2 linked regions of the Diceros bicornis minor genome follow. The protein of the gene in region 2 interacts with the protein of the main gene of each other region in a biochemical or structural test. Links are inferred from orthologs where the notes say so. Each region holds a gene or a part of one and is shown on either strand. Other genes may lie near its edges.

The links. The genes of interacting proteins can lie anywhere in the genome.
Region 1: the proteins of EIF4E (region 2) and IPO8 form a complex in vitro, tested with the Homo sapiens proteins (2 studies listed by BioGRID and IntAct, with this or other methods). The link is inferred for Diceros bicornis minor from reciprocal best matches to the Homo sapiens genes EIF4E and IPO8.

What each region holds. Positions count from the first base shown.
Region 1 is NC_080756.1:32,522,981-32,530,185, forward strand, and holds the start of IPO8 (importin-8), read left to right. Parts: upstream 1-3,990; 5' UTR 3,991-4,103; coding exon 4,104-4,187; intron 4,188-7,205. UniProt on the Homo sapiens protein: Involved in nuclear protein import, either by acting as autonomous nuclear transport receptor or as an adapter-like protein in association with the importin-beta subunit KPNB1.
Region 2 is NC_080747.1:81,778,342-81,785,751, forward strand, and holds the start of EIF4E (eukaryotic translation initiation factor 4E), read right to left. Parts: upstream 3,110-7,410; 5' UTR 3,095-3,109; coding exon 2,882-3,094; intron 1-2,881. UniProt on the Homo sapiens protein: Acts in the cytoplasm to initiate and regulate protein synthesis and is required in the nucleus for export of a subset of mRNAs from the nucleus to the cytoplasm which promotes processes such as RNA capping, processing and splicing.

The DNA of each region.
Region 1 (7,205 bases), on a different chromosome or scaffold from region 2:
AACATGTCCAAAGACAAACTCATCCTTCCTCTAAAATCTAACACTCCTTGCATTTTCCCTTGCTAATGACTTCTATAGGTCAGCAAAGCTTGAAACTTGGAGAATCATTCTTGATGTCTCTTTGTTACTTTGTATATCTAATCAGTCACAAATTCCTGTTGATTGAACCTGTGAAATGTCTCATATCTGTCTTTTTTTATTCCTGCTGTGGATATCCTATTCCAGACCCCTTATTTTTCTCTCACATGCATTCATTTATTAATTCAACCAGTACTTATTTATTGCTTATTATGTGCCAGGCATAGTGGGAGACTATGTCGTACTATGTCACATTCATCAAAAGTTGAATAAGGTGTCTCTTCTCTCATGTTAAATAGAATACAATGATAATAGTTAACATTGAGCATGTATATAGCATGAGCAATGTGCTTATCTCATTTAGTTGTCATGACAGCTTTTGGAAGCAGGTGAAGAAACAGGCAGAGAGGTAAGGCATATGCAAACCATGATAATACAAGACAACATAGCTGGCTCAAATTTCTACCTTAAACATGGTAGAGGATATCAGTAAATATAGACATCCTCATATTAAGCAAAGTAATAAAAAAAAAGGAGACTCAAACAATGAACCATTTGTAAGTTAAACATAAGTTATAGTTTAGGGAAAGCTATTTTAAAACACTTGTAAAGAAATCTGAGAGCAGAATGGTAGATGCTTGTAGGTGTTTTCCGGTTGTCTTGGACACTGCTAATTTGACAGCATTGTTTTTTAGTAACTTGTTTTCGCTGAGTCTTTCCAAAGCATATGAAGTTTGCATGGGAATATCAATTCTCTTTTTAATTTTGTTAAAGTTTTTCTTTTGAGATAATTGTAGATTCTCATGCAGTTGTAAAAAATAATACAGATGGATCCTGTATACTCTTTATCCAATTTTTCTCAATGATACATCTTGCAAAACTGTAGTACAATGTCACAACCAAGATGTTGACGCTGATACAGTCAATATACAGAACGTTTCCATCACACAGGGATCCTTCATGTTGCCCTTTTATAGTCACACCCACTTCTCTGTCTTGTCCCCACCTCCACTTTAACCCCTCACAACCACTGATCCGTTCTTTCTATGATTTGTCAATTTAGGAATGTTATATAAGTATAATCAGATAGTATTTGACTTTTTTGGGATTGGCTTTTTTCACTTAGCATAATTCTCTGGAGATTTATCCAGGTTGTGTGTATCATTCCTTTTTATTGCTCAGTAGAAGTCCATGGTTATAGATGTGCCACAGTTTGTTTAACTGGTTTTCCACAGAGGCTGTACCATTTCACACTCCTACCAACAATATGTGAGTGATCCAGTTTCTCTGCATCCTTGCCAGCGTATTTGGTGGTGTCACTGTTTTTTACTTCTCTCCTTTTACATTATTGGAATGACTGCATCAAGTTTGTCCCTACTCCAAACCATCTTTAGTGCTACCAGAGTTCAGTTTTAGACATGTGCCTTAAAGGATTTGGGTACATCCAGGTAGAAATTTGGATACATCTAGTTTAAGGAAAGAGATCTTGGTTAGAAGCAGTTTTGTAAATTGTCCCTGTTGAGTTGATGGTTAAAGTTATATAGGTGGATGAAATTACTAAAGCAGAATGGATGGAGGAGAAAGAAAGGAGGGCTGAGGACAGAGTCCTGGGAAGCACCAGTGTTTAAGAATTGGCCGATCAAGTGAGTAATCAAAGGGTTAGGAATATATTCTTTAAGAGAAATAAGGAAAGAAATATTTTTTTAAAAGCATATAATACAGTGTCAGATATCTCTCTCTGATATCTGAGAACTGAAAATGTCTCTTGCATTTGGTATCTGAGGGATCAGTGTTGATTTTTGCGTGGCAATTTCAGTGGAGGAAATGAGGGCAGAAGCCTGGGGATAGCTGATTGAAGCATGAATAGGAAGTAAGGAAGTAAAGACAATGACCATTCTTTGGAATGAAAAAGAATGAACAATAATTAGAAAGCATTACTGAAGAAAGATAGTTTTTTAACTGGGGGGAAATGTTGTTAGGCCGAGGTTGAATCGAGGGAGAGAAAGAGGCTTAAAATATAGGACAAACTTTTACATATTGTCAACATGTAATAATACCTAAAATTTATTTTAATGAAAAAATACATAGAAGAGAGGAGAGAGATTTATGGAGCAAGGTCCCAGAGGAAATGGGAGAGGATTGGGTTCAGACTAGAGAGAAGGAGGTGAGGAGGGGTAAGCAGGGATTAATTTGTGTTTGAGCAAGTTGAGTCTGATGACTTTGCTCATCTCTGCAGGGCTCTGTGAGAAGGGGTAGGGAATTTGAGAAGAGTCTTGAGGGTTGGAACAATTGGTGAGAGAATGGAAGATGGTGCTGATCAAAGACAAGGAATGCAATTGTTGAGTTTTAGCAAAGCACACACCTTTTTATTGGTATCAGTTTGCACAGTGGGTCAAGGATAGACTTGAGAAGTTGAATTGGGTGTTTAATAGCAAAGAAGGATGTGTGGTCAGGAGTGGGGAGACTCAGGAGAATTGGAAAAGTGATTGAGTTGGAAAACAGGTGTAGAATTATTGAGGGAGAGAGATGGAAGAATAGATCCTAAGTTAAAAAGAAGATATTGGAGTTAAGATTTCAGAGGTCAAGGAGTTTTAGATTATCATGAGGTCCAAAAGAGTGGGTTAATGAAACTGTGTGGAGGTGAAAGACACTGTTTCAAAAGACTCTGAAGTGGTGCTAAGGACTTTGTTTTTTATCTTGATGTTGATGAGATGTCATCAAGGAAGGGACACGACAGTATTAACCTTTAAGAAACATAACTCTGATGGCAGTATGGAGAATGGATTAAAGATGGGCAAAACTGGAAGCAATCAGAGACATATTGTTAGGCATGTTTGCACCCAGTTGAGGGGCATTGTCCCGCTTACAGCCTCTGCAGAGGAAATAGCTTTCAGGAAGCCAAGTTTTCTGCCACATATTTTCTACTCTCTTGATTGAACAAATCTATCTTATCTGCTCCTGGAAAGATCACATCCCCTCAGATGTATTTTGCTCACAGTCATCTTCTTTGCTAAATGTAATGAGGACTCTTTCTGGGTTAGCCTCAGGAAAAACTAGCTCCTTAATATTTTTATGCCATTGAAATTGTGGGGCCAGATATGGCCACAGTGGGTGGAAACCGTATAACCCTTCTTGCTTTTCACTACTTTTCTGAGAAGGTCCAGAAGTTTTTCGGAAACCCTCAGGCATATAGCTAGTTTTTATGATCTATTTCCACAGTTACTCTGTAAATAAATTTTATCTGTTTAAATTAGTCTCTTCTATCAGATTGTAAGTTCCTTCAAGATAACCTGCATCGAATTCATCTTGTTATAATGTGGTACCCAAATATCTCAGTACTCTGGTTCAAAAATAGATGTTTAACAAATGTTCAGTCAATGAATGAAATGATGGCTCCCACAGACCCAGGGGACCGCGTCCTTCTGTGGGCCAGATAATCTCAAGGTCCCAACAAGTCTGCCCTGGAACAGGCTCAGTTGTGATGCCCAGTCAGTGCTCAGACTAACAAAAAGTGCCACTCCCTCCATAGATGCTTAATTTGGAAGCAGCTGTAAAGAGACCACTAGCCAGCTCGTTTCTCCCACTGGGAAGCGGCGGGAGGCTATTTTCCGTACGGCAGCATGGCGGCCGCCTGCCGGAGCTAGTGAGTTCAGTCTCCCTCCGGGGAAGAAGCTGCCCACTTTCCGTACGACAGCATGGCGGCCGCCTGTGGGGGCGGCCATAGCATCACGCCCGGGGGAAGAGGCCGCCGTAAAGGAAGAGCCGCTTCCTCTTCTCACTTCTCCCGCCTCCCACCGGCTGTCGTAAAAGGGTGAATGGAGAGCGAGTTGTGGGGGGTAGAAAGGGAGGACAGGGGGCGCGGAGTCAGAGTGGCGCAGCAAGTGGCTGCAGGTGGCGACGGTGGCGGGGGGTGGGGCGTGAGGTAGTCCAGGGGTCGCGGAGGAGGAGGCTGAGAGGGTCAGAAGAAAACTAAAGCTGCAGTCTGGCCTACTGGTCCGGGGGCCGCGGAGCCCCCACCCGGGGAGATGGACCTCAACCGGATCATCCAGGCGCTGAAGGGCACCATCGACCCCAAGCTGCGGATCGCCGCTGAGAACGAGCTCAACCAGGTGAGGAGCGGGCCTGCGGCGCCCCCCTGCCGCCGGAGCGGCGCCTCTCGCCGGCTAGCCGAGCTCTCCCTCCTCGGCGCCCCCCTCTCCACCCCGCGGGGCTCCGGACCCTGACGCTTCCCTCGGCCTGTCCCGCCCCCCGGCCCGGCTCCAGTTTAGCGGCGCTCCCCGGATCTTTTCTGAACAGCTCGCGCACCTGTTGGCCACCTTTGCATCTTGTTGTGTCGGTTTCCTTCCCCAGTGCAGTTTATTCAGCCCGCCTGGTCCGCAGAAAGAAGCTTTAGCAAGCTTTGCTTGTGTTTTCAGGGTGTAATTTCTTTTCCTTCAGTACGCTGACTTGGGGACGAGGGTGGGAAAATTCACTTAAAATTCAAATCTGAGTTCAGCTTTTCTCCGGACCCAACCCTTTTTAGGTGTTGCTGTGGGTAACCCTGCCCATCGCCTGCTTCTGTGGGGTTGGCAGGATTGTTTTGACACTGATTGGCAGAATTTTGTTGGAGCGCTGGGAAATGCTGTCGGGAAATGCTCTAGGAAGAATAGGCAATTTTCATGGTGGTGCTGCTTTACAAAAGACACGTCGAGTAATGTTTGTTTGGAGGGATTTCTTATAAACGCTAAAATGTGTAAGACTTTCTTTTATCCTCCATCCTCTATTCCTACTAACTAGCCTTGACCTAATTCCAGCCTTACCACCATATTTCAAAATTTTAATGATCCCAAACTCTACCTTATTTTCTCCTCCTCACCTGTAAGAATGAATTATAGACCTTTCACTAAAAAGTACAAATTAAAGTCTACCCCCAGGATAGAGTGACAGCTGTTTGAGGTTGCAGTAATCCTTAAAATGTAAAGGAATATACCTAAATTAGTGGTTCTCAAAGTGTTGCCCAGGATGAGCAGCATCAACATCACCTAGGAACTTGTTGGACGTGCAGATTATCCCCATAGACTTTAAGTCACTCTAGACTTAAAGAATCAGAAACGCAGTGAGTGGAGCCCAATCACGTTTTAATTAGCTAGCTAGGTGATCTTGTGCTTCCTAAAGTGTGAGAACAACTGTCCTAAGTGAATGTTTCTGTAGGACTTCACTAAGGTTTTCCCTGGTTGGAGTTGACGTTAAAGTCCAGATATGTGTTGTGAATCTTTGAAAGGGATTATTTTAATGGGAAATCTGGGTGGAGTTTGGAGTAAGTGTGAATCCAGGATTCCCAAGAGATAAAAGGGAGAGTGGAGACACTGACTCCGGAGAGAAGGTTGAGTTGCGCAGAAGCCCAAAGGGAATGTATTGGTGCCTCGGAAAGAGGACTGTCACTCAGAAGAGGGGGAAGTTAGTGTCAGTACCTGTCTTGGGCTTTGCAGAGTAGATGTACTATTTGTGGATTAGCTAGGAGAATAGTAATCCAGGGATTGGTTAGGGGAACAAAGCAAGAGCTGAATTTGCAATCTGCTAGTGTGAACAGGAGAGTTGGCCTGTTTGTGACCCCTTTCGCCTCACAATGAGGCCAGCTGTTATCACTATTACTTTGATAGTGTGAATAGGGATCATATCTTTGATCCCATGTTGTGCTTTCCTGCCTCTGTTAGCCTGCCTGTGCTTTGTTTCTGATGCATTAGTATATAAGTGCAGTCGACTTTAGAGAAGTGGAAAAGATAGGTGGGAAAGCCTGCAGAACTAGAAGACACATTTAGGACCCAATTCTTTTTATCTTCATGATATTTCGATCCAAATCCATTCCATCCTCACTCTGCCCTGCTCCATGTCTACGTAACTTATCATAGACCGCAGTTTCCTCTGCAACTTCTCAAAGTAGCTTATTCCTATGCCACTCATTTAACATTTATATTTTATATAATGCTTTGGATTATAATATGCTTTCATTAAATATTTTTTGAATTGTCTGTAAGTAGAAGACTAACATATACTGTCGCATAACCTTATAGTAAAACATGGTTATAAGGTGGGGTTTTGTATGCTTATCCTTTACTACCACTGTAACATCCTACTTTGTTGGATAAACAGGTGGGTAATCTACCCTAAGTGATTGGAGTCCAGCTCATTTATTTTAGTCTAGGTCCCCCTTCAGCAAATATGCTCTGCATAGGAAATGGGGGCAGCTCCTACAGTGTACTGATTGATTTGTCAATTGCCATTTAGAAGAGTAGGCAACTTGAAAACATAACAGCCTGTGTTCCAAAGGCTAAATTCTTATTTGGAGCTATTTTTTTTGTGTGTAGCCAACATATTTCTGTTACCAGCGACTGGTTCCTTGACTGTATTCGTGATATTGTTTCTCTGGGAAAATGCATTTTCAGTTTTATCTCAGGATATTAAGAATGCATCCTGTACATATCTCTCACTGTCTCTAAACCCAGAAGTCCCTTTAGCAGCAGCATAGGGAAGTAGGAATGAGTAGATATCTTGCTCCAGTAACTCATCCAGAAAGGTGTCATCTTTTAATAAATCATTCTCTATGTGGCCTCAATAGGGAAATAAAAATATGTACCTTCATTGCCAAGCTTTGCAATCCCTGCTTTTCTGTGCATCTGTAGGCGTCCTTTTTATTGCCTTTTAAGAGAGTTTGCTTATATGCATAACATATATTTATCGAGTTCTAGCAGGCACTAGTCCAAGACTCTGCTCTCATAGAGCTTGCATTCTGGTGGGGATATAGACAAGTAAATAATATAGTTTCAGGTCGTAAGTGCTACAGAGAGTAAAGCCCTGGAGAGACTGTGTTGGGATGTATAAATAAGGCAGTCATTCTCTGAAGAATGACACTGAGTAGAGACCTAAGTGTTGTGAAGGAGTGAACCGGGTGAAGAGCTGGGAGAGGAATGGAGGGAACAGCAAGTTCAGTCAAGGCCCTCAACCTGGCCTTTTGGAAGACCAGAAAAGTTAATGTAGTGGGGGCGGTGAGGCGGAAAATGGGAAGACATCGGGTCTTTGTGTTAAATGAGTTCTCATAAAATGCAGAATGTGGCTAAGCAGATCAACTGCTTATTTTCAGAAAACTTCAC
Region 2 (7,410 bases):
AATATATTCATGGAGGATTAACTTTATCTAGTTCTTCATAACTGACAAACTGTCATCTCTGAATACTGCATTTGAAAATCAAAATCACTGTAAGCTATCTTCTTAATTTCCTTTTTTCAGCTAGACTTAGAAAGTTCAGTCTTCAAGGTGACACAGATATTAAAATTAGAATATAAGCCATGCTCATGTCCACATTTCAAAAATGTCTCTATGACAAAAATGGAGCAGTTCACAGGTACCAGAAGAGCAAGGAAATTTCCAATATTAGAAGGCAAGGGAAAGTAGAAATTACTATTGCTAGAGCAATTATTTCACAGGTTCCTTGTTATATCCATGACTATTGTTACTTTTACTATATTCTTAACTTGATATAAATTGAACAGAATATTTTATAAAAATTTCTTTGCCTAAAATTTTCTATCCAAATTGGCTTAAGCTTACATAATTCATTTTGCATTTTATTCTCTGGAACTTCGGTGTGTAAACTGTGTCTGTTTCTAAGTTGAATTTCTCTAAGTCAAATAATTATGCATAATATTAATTCAAAGCATAAAATTTAGTGAAATTTGAATATAAATACCAGAACTGAATTTATTTGGTTTATGAACAAAGTTTGATATACTGGGTTCTTTCATTAAAGCAAAAACACACATATTAACTTGCAAGATCTGCTTGTTAATCAACAATTTTTGGTCAACAAAAAACACTGAATTATATAACAACATATTTGTCAATATGTATTTAAGCCTTATTCACTTTTAATAAATAAACTCTGCAATACAAAGCATGTTTCTAAAGGATAAAAAAGGAAACATTAGATCAGCTGACCATCCAAGTTGATTCCACTTATGAAATTAATTTTTAATTTATAAAAAAATTCAAGAGATACAATGTGAAAACAAGTAACATTATATACCTTCAGTTTAACTAAAGAAACCAAAATTAATCTCTTACCTTGAAAAGAACTACAAGTCAAAAAAAAAGCCCAACAATGAAGAATGTAGAATAAAGATAAAGCTACAAAGAAACAAGACCCACTGAGGCAAGACCGCCTGGGGAAACTGCCTTGCCCTCTTCACCAACTAATATTAAGTCTAATTTTGACTCAGCCACAATTCAAATGCCAAGACAGTAACAGGAGAGTATCGTTTATCCCAATGTTCAAAATTTTGCCATATTACCTGTAAAGAGGTAAAATGCTTCCTTTAATTTGCCCTGTCAAACTTCTCAACAAATTTACTATTTGTAAGCCATATCTTAATGTCACTGAACTCATACACATACACTTGAGAAAACCCACACGATAATATCAAATTGAAAATGACTGATGTTTTATATAACTTCCATAGATAAAAATTCCCCCAAACGCTTATGAAAAGTGGAACAAGCAGGAAAAACCCATGGCTCTTTAAGTGCTTATGATTATGCCTAGCAGAAAAGCAATAAGGAAACTCACAAGCGAGCTGAAACAGCAATGAACAAATATGCTTTCTGTAGGCTTCAGCAGGGATACCTCAATTGTAACCAATACTAATCAACTGCTTAAAAAAAAATTCCCACTATTTAAAATTGTCAAAAAGAATCTAAACTACTAACTTGTGGACAAGCGTGCATTAAAAGTACTAAAAATGTGCATTTTCACTAAAAATGAACACTTCAATGTTATTTTACATACATCCTCAAACTACTACAGTTTAACCTGGCTTTCCATTTTCACACACTTTAGGTTTTTAAGTTTCCTGCTCCCCAAACCTAAATGCAGTATCCAAATCTCTGGGTCAGCACTAGAACAAATTCTATACTGTATCACTGACCACATCACTGGCAATTAAGCTCTTTAACAGTTTACATTGAATAAGGTATAGAATCACATCTTGTATAACTTTGTATTTCTAAAGAATGCTTGGTTCAACGTCCTAAATATATCAGGGGCTATATTTACTAACTCAAACTAATCCTTCAACACTTTGTAGTTCTCTGCTGTTGAAACAAAACTGCATAACTTTGCAAAATCCAAAGGACCTAAATGTTACTGAAACTTCACAGAATACATTACTGTTTTATGTTTTGAGGTATGAGTCTTGCCCCTATTACCAGCTGTAATGCTTTTTAGTGACACTGGTACAAGTGAATAGCAGAGCAGATCCAGCCAGAAGTGGACAACACCCTAAAAGGGATTTAAATTAAAAGTTTACATATTTATCCTACGTCTTTAGCTATGTAGCATTAATGTTCTAAAGTCAGTTAATTGTATCAACTACTTGAGACAGTTTTGCAGTCAACCTGATTTCTAGGAACATAAATAAAAACTGGTACCAATTAAAGAACAAGTAATCAAGTAGAAAAACTGCCTTAAATCCGGGCAACAAGGTAAGGATAGTTCACATTAATGTAATGAAAAAGAAGCCTTTTTGTATTCTGTAGGCCTCTCCATGACTAGTTTTTGAAACAGTTATTAAAAAAAAAAAAGTCAAAGCAAATTGGTAAGCCATTATCAAAATCACAAACTACCACTACAGATACACAAAAATATCTGGCAACCAAGGTCTAGAACTGGTTCCAGAGTGTCAAAGGTTTTCTGGTTATTAACATAGCCCATTATGCCTCTAAAACAATGTCACTCAGATGTGACATTCCTAAAACGGCAACATAGGCCTAGAAGTTTCAGCGTCAGTGCTAATGCTGGCAAACTCAAACTATGACCAAGATACTCTCTCTCCTTGGGGTTAACTACCAATTTTCTGCTCCGGGATCAGCTTGCTTCAACCAAGTTTAAGATGGTGCCTACATTGAGAGGAAAGTGGGTAGAACAGATAAAGAGAAAACATTCAAAGGGAAGCTTAATTTTAAAAGTTAAGTTCTTGATTCCAATAAACCGCGCCTTAGAAGTCTTCCAGACGACAAGGACTCGGAAGAACAGCTGGATGTAGACCCATTCGCTTCTCTGAGGCGTGCGCACTGCGCGGAAAGCATGAATGAATGGAAGAGGCTCGTGTGAAACGCAGCAGGTCCGGCCGGCAACCAGACCGGCGGCAGCGCTCAGTAGGCCTCGCTCCTCCCCTTCCCTCCTCCATGACAGCCCAGGCTCGAGCATGGAGGGGCGAGGACAATGTGATCCCCCTTCTCACCACCACCACCACCACCCTTCATCCTACTCAGAAAGCTTTACCGCGCGACACGCGGCTCTCCTCCCCACCCCAAACCGCCCTCGCCTCCCCGGCCGCCAGCCCCGGCCACTCCCGGGCGCTGGAGTACCATGCGCTCGCCCCTCGGCGCCCCTCGGCGAGGTCGACGCTCTCCGCGCGTGCCGCGGCGCCGCTCCCGCCCAACCCACCCTCCGGCCACGCGCGCCCACCGGCTCCCCGGCACGCTGGTCGGTGAAGACCCGCGCGCGCCCGCACCCGAACCCCCGGGCGGGAGCTCAGGAGGGAGGGAGGGATAGGCTGCCCCGGGGCTCCCTCCTCGATCTCCTTCCAGGCCGGCTCGCCACCCACCCTCCCTGCGGATCCCGGCGCCCGCTCGGGGCCGGCCCCGCGCCTTCCTGTCCCGAAGGCACAATCCCCACACACCCAGCCCGGGGCCACGGTCTCCCTGCACCCTGGTCGACACCCGCGGCGCGGCAGGGGGCGCCGCCCCTCCCCCACGCCTCTCCCCCAGCTCTCAGCCCCCACCAGAACGTGTGCGCTCCACGCCGCGCCGCCAGCCTCCGGGGCGCCCCCCGGGGCCCGCGGGCAGGTCAGGCCCAAGAAGAGGGGGAGGGGGCGGCAAGGGGTAGCGTGCGCGCCAGGAACGCCGTCCCGCGGGGTCCCCTAGTCCGAAGGGGGCCGGAGCGCGGGGACCCGAGGGGGTGGGGGCCAAAGGCAATACTCACCGGTTCCACAGTCGCCATCTTAGATCGATCTGATCGCACAACCGCTCCTGGAGGGGGGGTGAGAGAAAAAAATGAGATTCAAACCGGATTGGCCGGCTACTGTCCACGTGACGGACGTGTCCGTTTGGCCCTGGCGGCGCCTGCGCAAGACTGCGGCTGCGTGAATGACCAGGGGCTTCTGGGAAGTGGAGTCTCTTTTCTCCCTCCCTCTGTCTCTCTTTTTTTTTTTTTTTTTTCTCTTCAGGGCAAAGAAGTTTAAAAAAAAGGCGTGGTCACGTGGTCGATGGGTAGGGTGCGCGGTTCTTGGCGCGGCGACGCTCGCGTGCTGGAGGGTAGTTTTCAGTCCTCTGCTCTCCCACCTGGGTAGGTGCTGTCGCACTTACTGCCAGGCATGCCTATTGTGCCCTTTGTCGCCCTGTCCTCCCATCTTCCCCGGAAGGCTCAGTACGCACAATAAGGCTTCATTTGTTTAGTTGCGGTCCTAGGACAGGTTGTGTGTTTATTTAATTTTCTTTTGACTTCCCACCATTTTCCCTTAGTTTCAAAAAGAGGCGGCGATGGAGAGTCGTTGTTTAAGGAATCAACCCTGCCCCGTCCCCGGCTCCGCTACCGGTCGTGGTCACTCGTTGCCATCTCTGCGAAAGGGGGTGGCAGAACCGCCCACCGTGCCCACTTGCCCCAGGCTGGGGGAGGGGGAGTGCACCCGACAGCTTTTGCAGTCCCAAATGCTGAGAGTAAGACCTCAGGGCTAAATCTTGAGTGGAAGGAACAATTATTTGGAAGGTCTGTCTTCTCGGTTGCACTATTCTGCTTTAACGTGAACAGAAATAGCCTAGGTCCAGGTGACAGCCAGGAAAGCCACTCCGGGTCCCGCTGACTAAGCCTTGGGCTGACCGTCAGGAGTCGTTAGGCCTGGTCAACTATGACTCTGGACGTTGACTCATTCTCCTTAGGCGAGTGACTTAATCGTTCAGTGCCTCGGCTTTTTCATTTATGAACCACAGATGATAATACACTTACCTCACAAGGGTGTGCTGTGGTAATGATTGTATCCAGCTTTGAAAATGCATCGGACTCTGTAAATGCTTTATAATAAGCAACCTCGTGCCTTCCTAAGGATCAGTTGCTTCTCCTGCTATTTTTTTAAACAATGTTTTAAGTTTTTCTTTTGTTTACGTTATCATGTACACCGTGGCAATTTTAAAATTTCAAGACAATTTTTTTGTTTATAGCTAACCTCAGTAGAGGCTTTAATATTCACGAAAATATTGTTATATTCACAACAATCTCTGGCAATTAGAAATTTATCCCCACATTGGCATCCTACATTTCCTTTCCCGCTAAGATAGTGTGCTATCGTTTCTCAAGACAGTGTTATTCTGCACAGTCTGATTATTAATACAACAATCAGTACAGATAAAAGAAATCTAGTAGAATGCTGCTATAAGGTTCTCATGAGGAAGACATCATATCATCCCTATTTGCCATACTTCTTAAGAATGTTAACACCAGAAGATCAATATAAGCAGGGTGCTTGTGCCTGCCTGCTGATAGTGTTGCCAATGCCTAGAGCTGGGTCATCGCTATTGTTGAGTACATAATGGTGGCTTGAGTTGACTCACACATAGTTGAGGCTGTGTGAGAACTCAAAACCATTGCCTGTTCATATGTTTTGGTTTACCTGGATATCAGAGGTGATTAATGAAAGCTTTTCAGTCAGTTTAGCTCTAGTAGGTTTAAAGTAGATGGAATTAAAAAAAAAATAAACGGATGAATGGATTTCTACTTAGGCAGACTGTTACTTAAACTATCCAAAGTAATTACAGTTGATCTCAGTGGTATTTTCTGTTGGTTAGAAGTAGTATCTGGTTATCTTCTTTGAGGAGAGAGCATAAATGTGCTATTTTTATGATGCTGCTAGATAACAGAGCAAAGAATTAAGGAGATTTCAGTCCCCTTATAGGACTGAAAGCCGGTGATATTCTCAAAACTTCTTTTAGTGATAACCTCCATTTTATTAACTTTTCTCTTGATCAAAAAACTCCCCACTTTTGTCTATCATCCTAGTACTTCTACAATACTTACATATACTCCTATTCTTTATAGCTTAATTTCTCTCCATTTTGTATACACTTCGTTGCATGGCACATTCGTGTGTGTTTGCCTAATATTGCCATTAGAGTCTACCGTGTTAAAGATTTGATGATTAGATTTTTATTTACGTGTGTATGTGGTTGTTTTGTTTTTGCTAATCTGAAATATACAGAGCAGAAATTTTATACTTTATTTCTCTATTAATCCACAAAAAATTACATTTGTTACCTTACTACTGTATTCATACTTATGCTTAAAGAAAGGGTAATAAAAAGATATATGAAATGGGAGATAGTATTGAAATTCTATTCTACTAGATCAAGTTATCTGGTAAATACATAACTAATGGCCCAGCATAGTATCATGGTAACTATTATGTATAAGCCTGGAATAATTGGTTTTCATTTAGTGTCTATAAGTAGTCATGATCTTTTCTCTACATAATGTATTCATCAAGCTAGTATATTACTAGTCTTTATAGATTTAACTCACGGTAAAACACTTTAAAGAATTTGATGGAACACATCAGTTGTTTTTAATCATGTATTTACCTCTTTTTTATTGGAATTTTATTTAGGATTTCTAGATAACCCAAGTCATTGTTTTGCTGGGTATCAGTACTAAACGACCATTTTTCTTAAAATGAGTAGGTTTTGAGGCAGAAAATATGAATTGCATAATGAAGTAAATGATCCTTAATATTGCAATATTGAATATTAATTTAGATATAATCTAAACCAACCTCTAACTAACACTAACATTGTTTTTTTTAAAACCTATTCACTCAGTTTTTAAACTTGGTTATCCTTTACTTTATGCTCTATTTTTTAAAATTGTTATTGTGACTTTCTACAGTGATATTCCTTTAGGAAGGACCTAAGATGATGACTTCTAACAGGACAAATAATCTTTTCAATTACAGTTGCATAGTTTAGTATTTAAGAACGTGAGCACTGATGTCAAATTATCTTGGTTCATAATCCCAGTTCTACTGCTTACTGTGTGACCAAACAGATTATTTAGTCTCTTTGTGCCTCATTTTGTCATGAGTTAGATGGGCATAATAATAGTACTTATCTTGTATAACTGGTTAGTGTGAGAAATAAATGATGTAATATTATATTAACATAAATTTCTTATTTCTACTTTTTAGTATACTGTAATATGCGTAACAATTCTTTCATTAGAGAACCAACCTAGCCTATTATCTTTCAGGATAGTCCAAGCTTTCAAAGTCAACTAACATTGGTTTTCTATAACATGCCAAGTCTTTTTCATATTGATTACTTCATTTGACCTTTATAACAATTATGTGAATTATACATTATGCCCATTGTATAGGTAAAGAAACAGACTCAATAAAGTTAGGGGACACATGCGAGTCCACACAGCCAGTGGTGAGCTCGAATTCAAACCCAAGTCTCTTGACTCCAAGATTCTTCCCT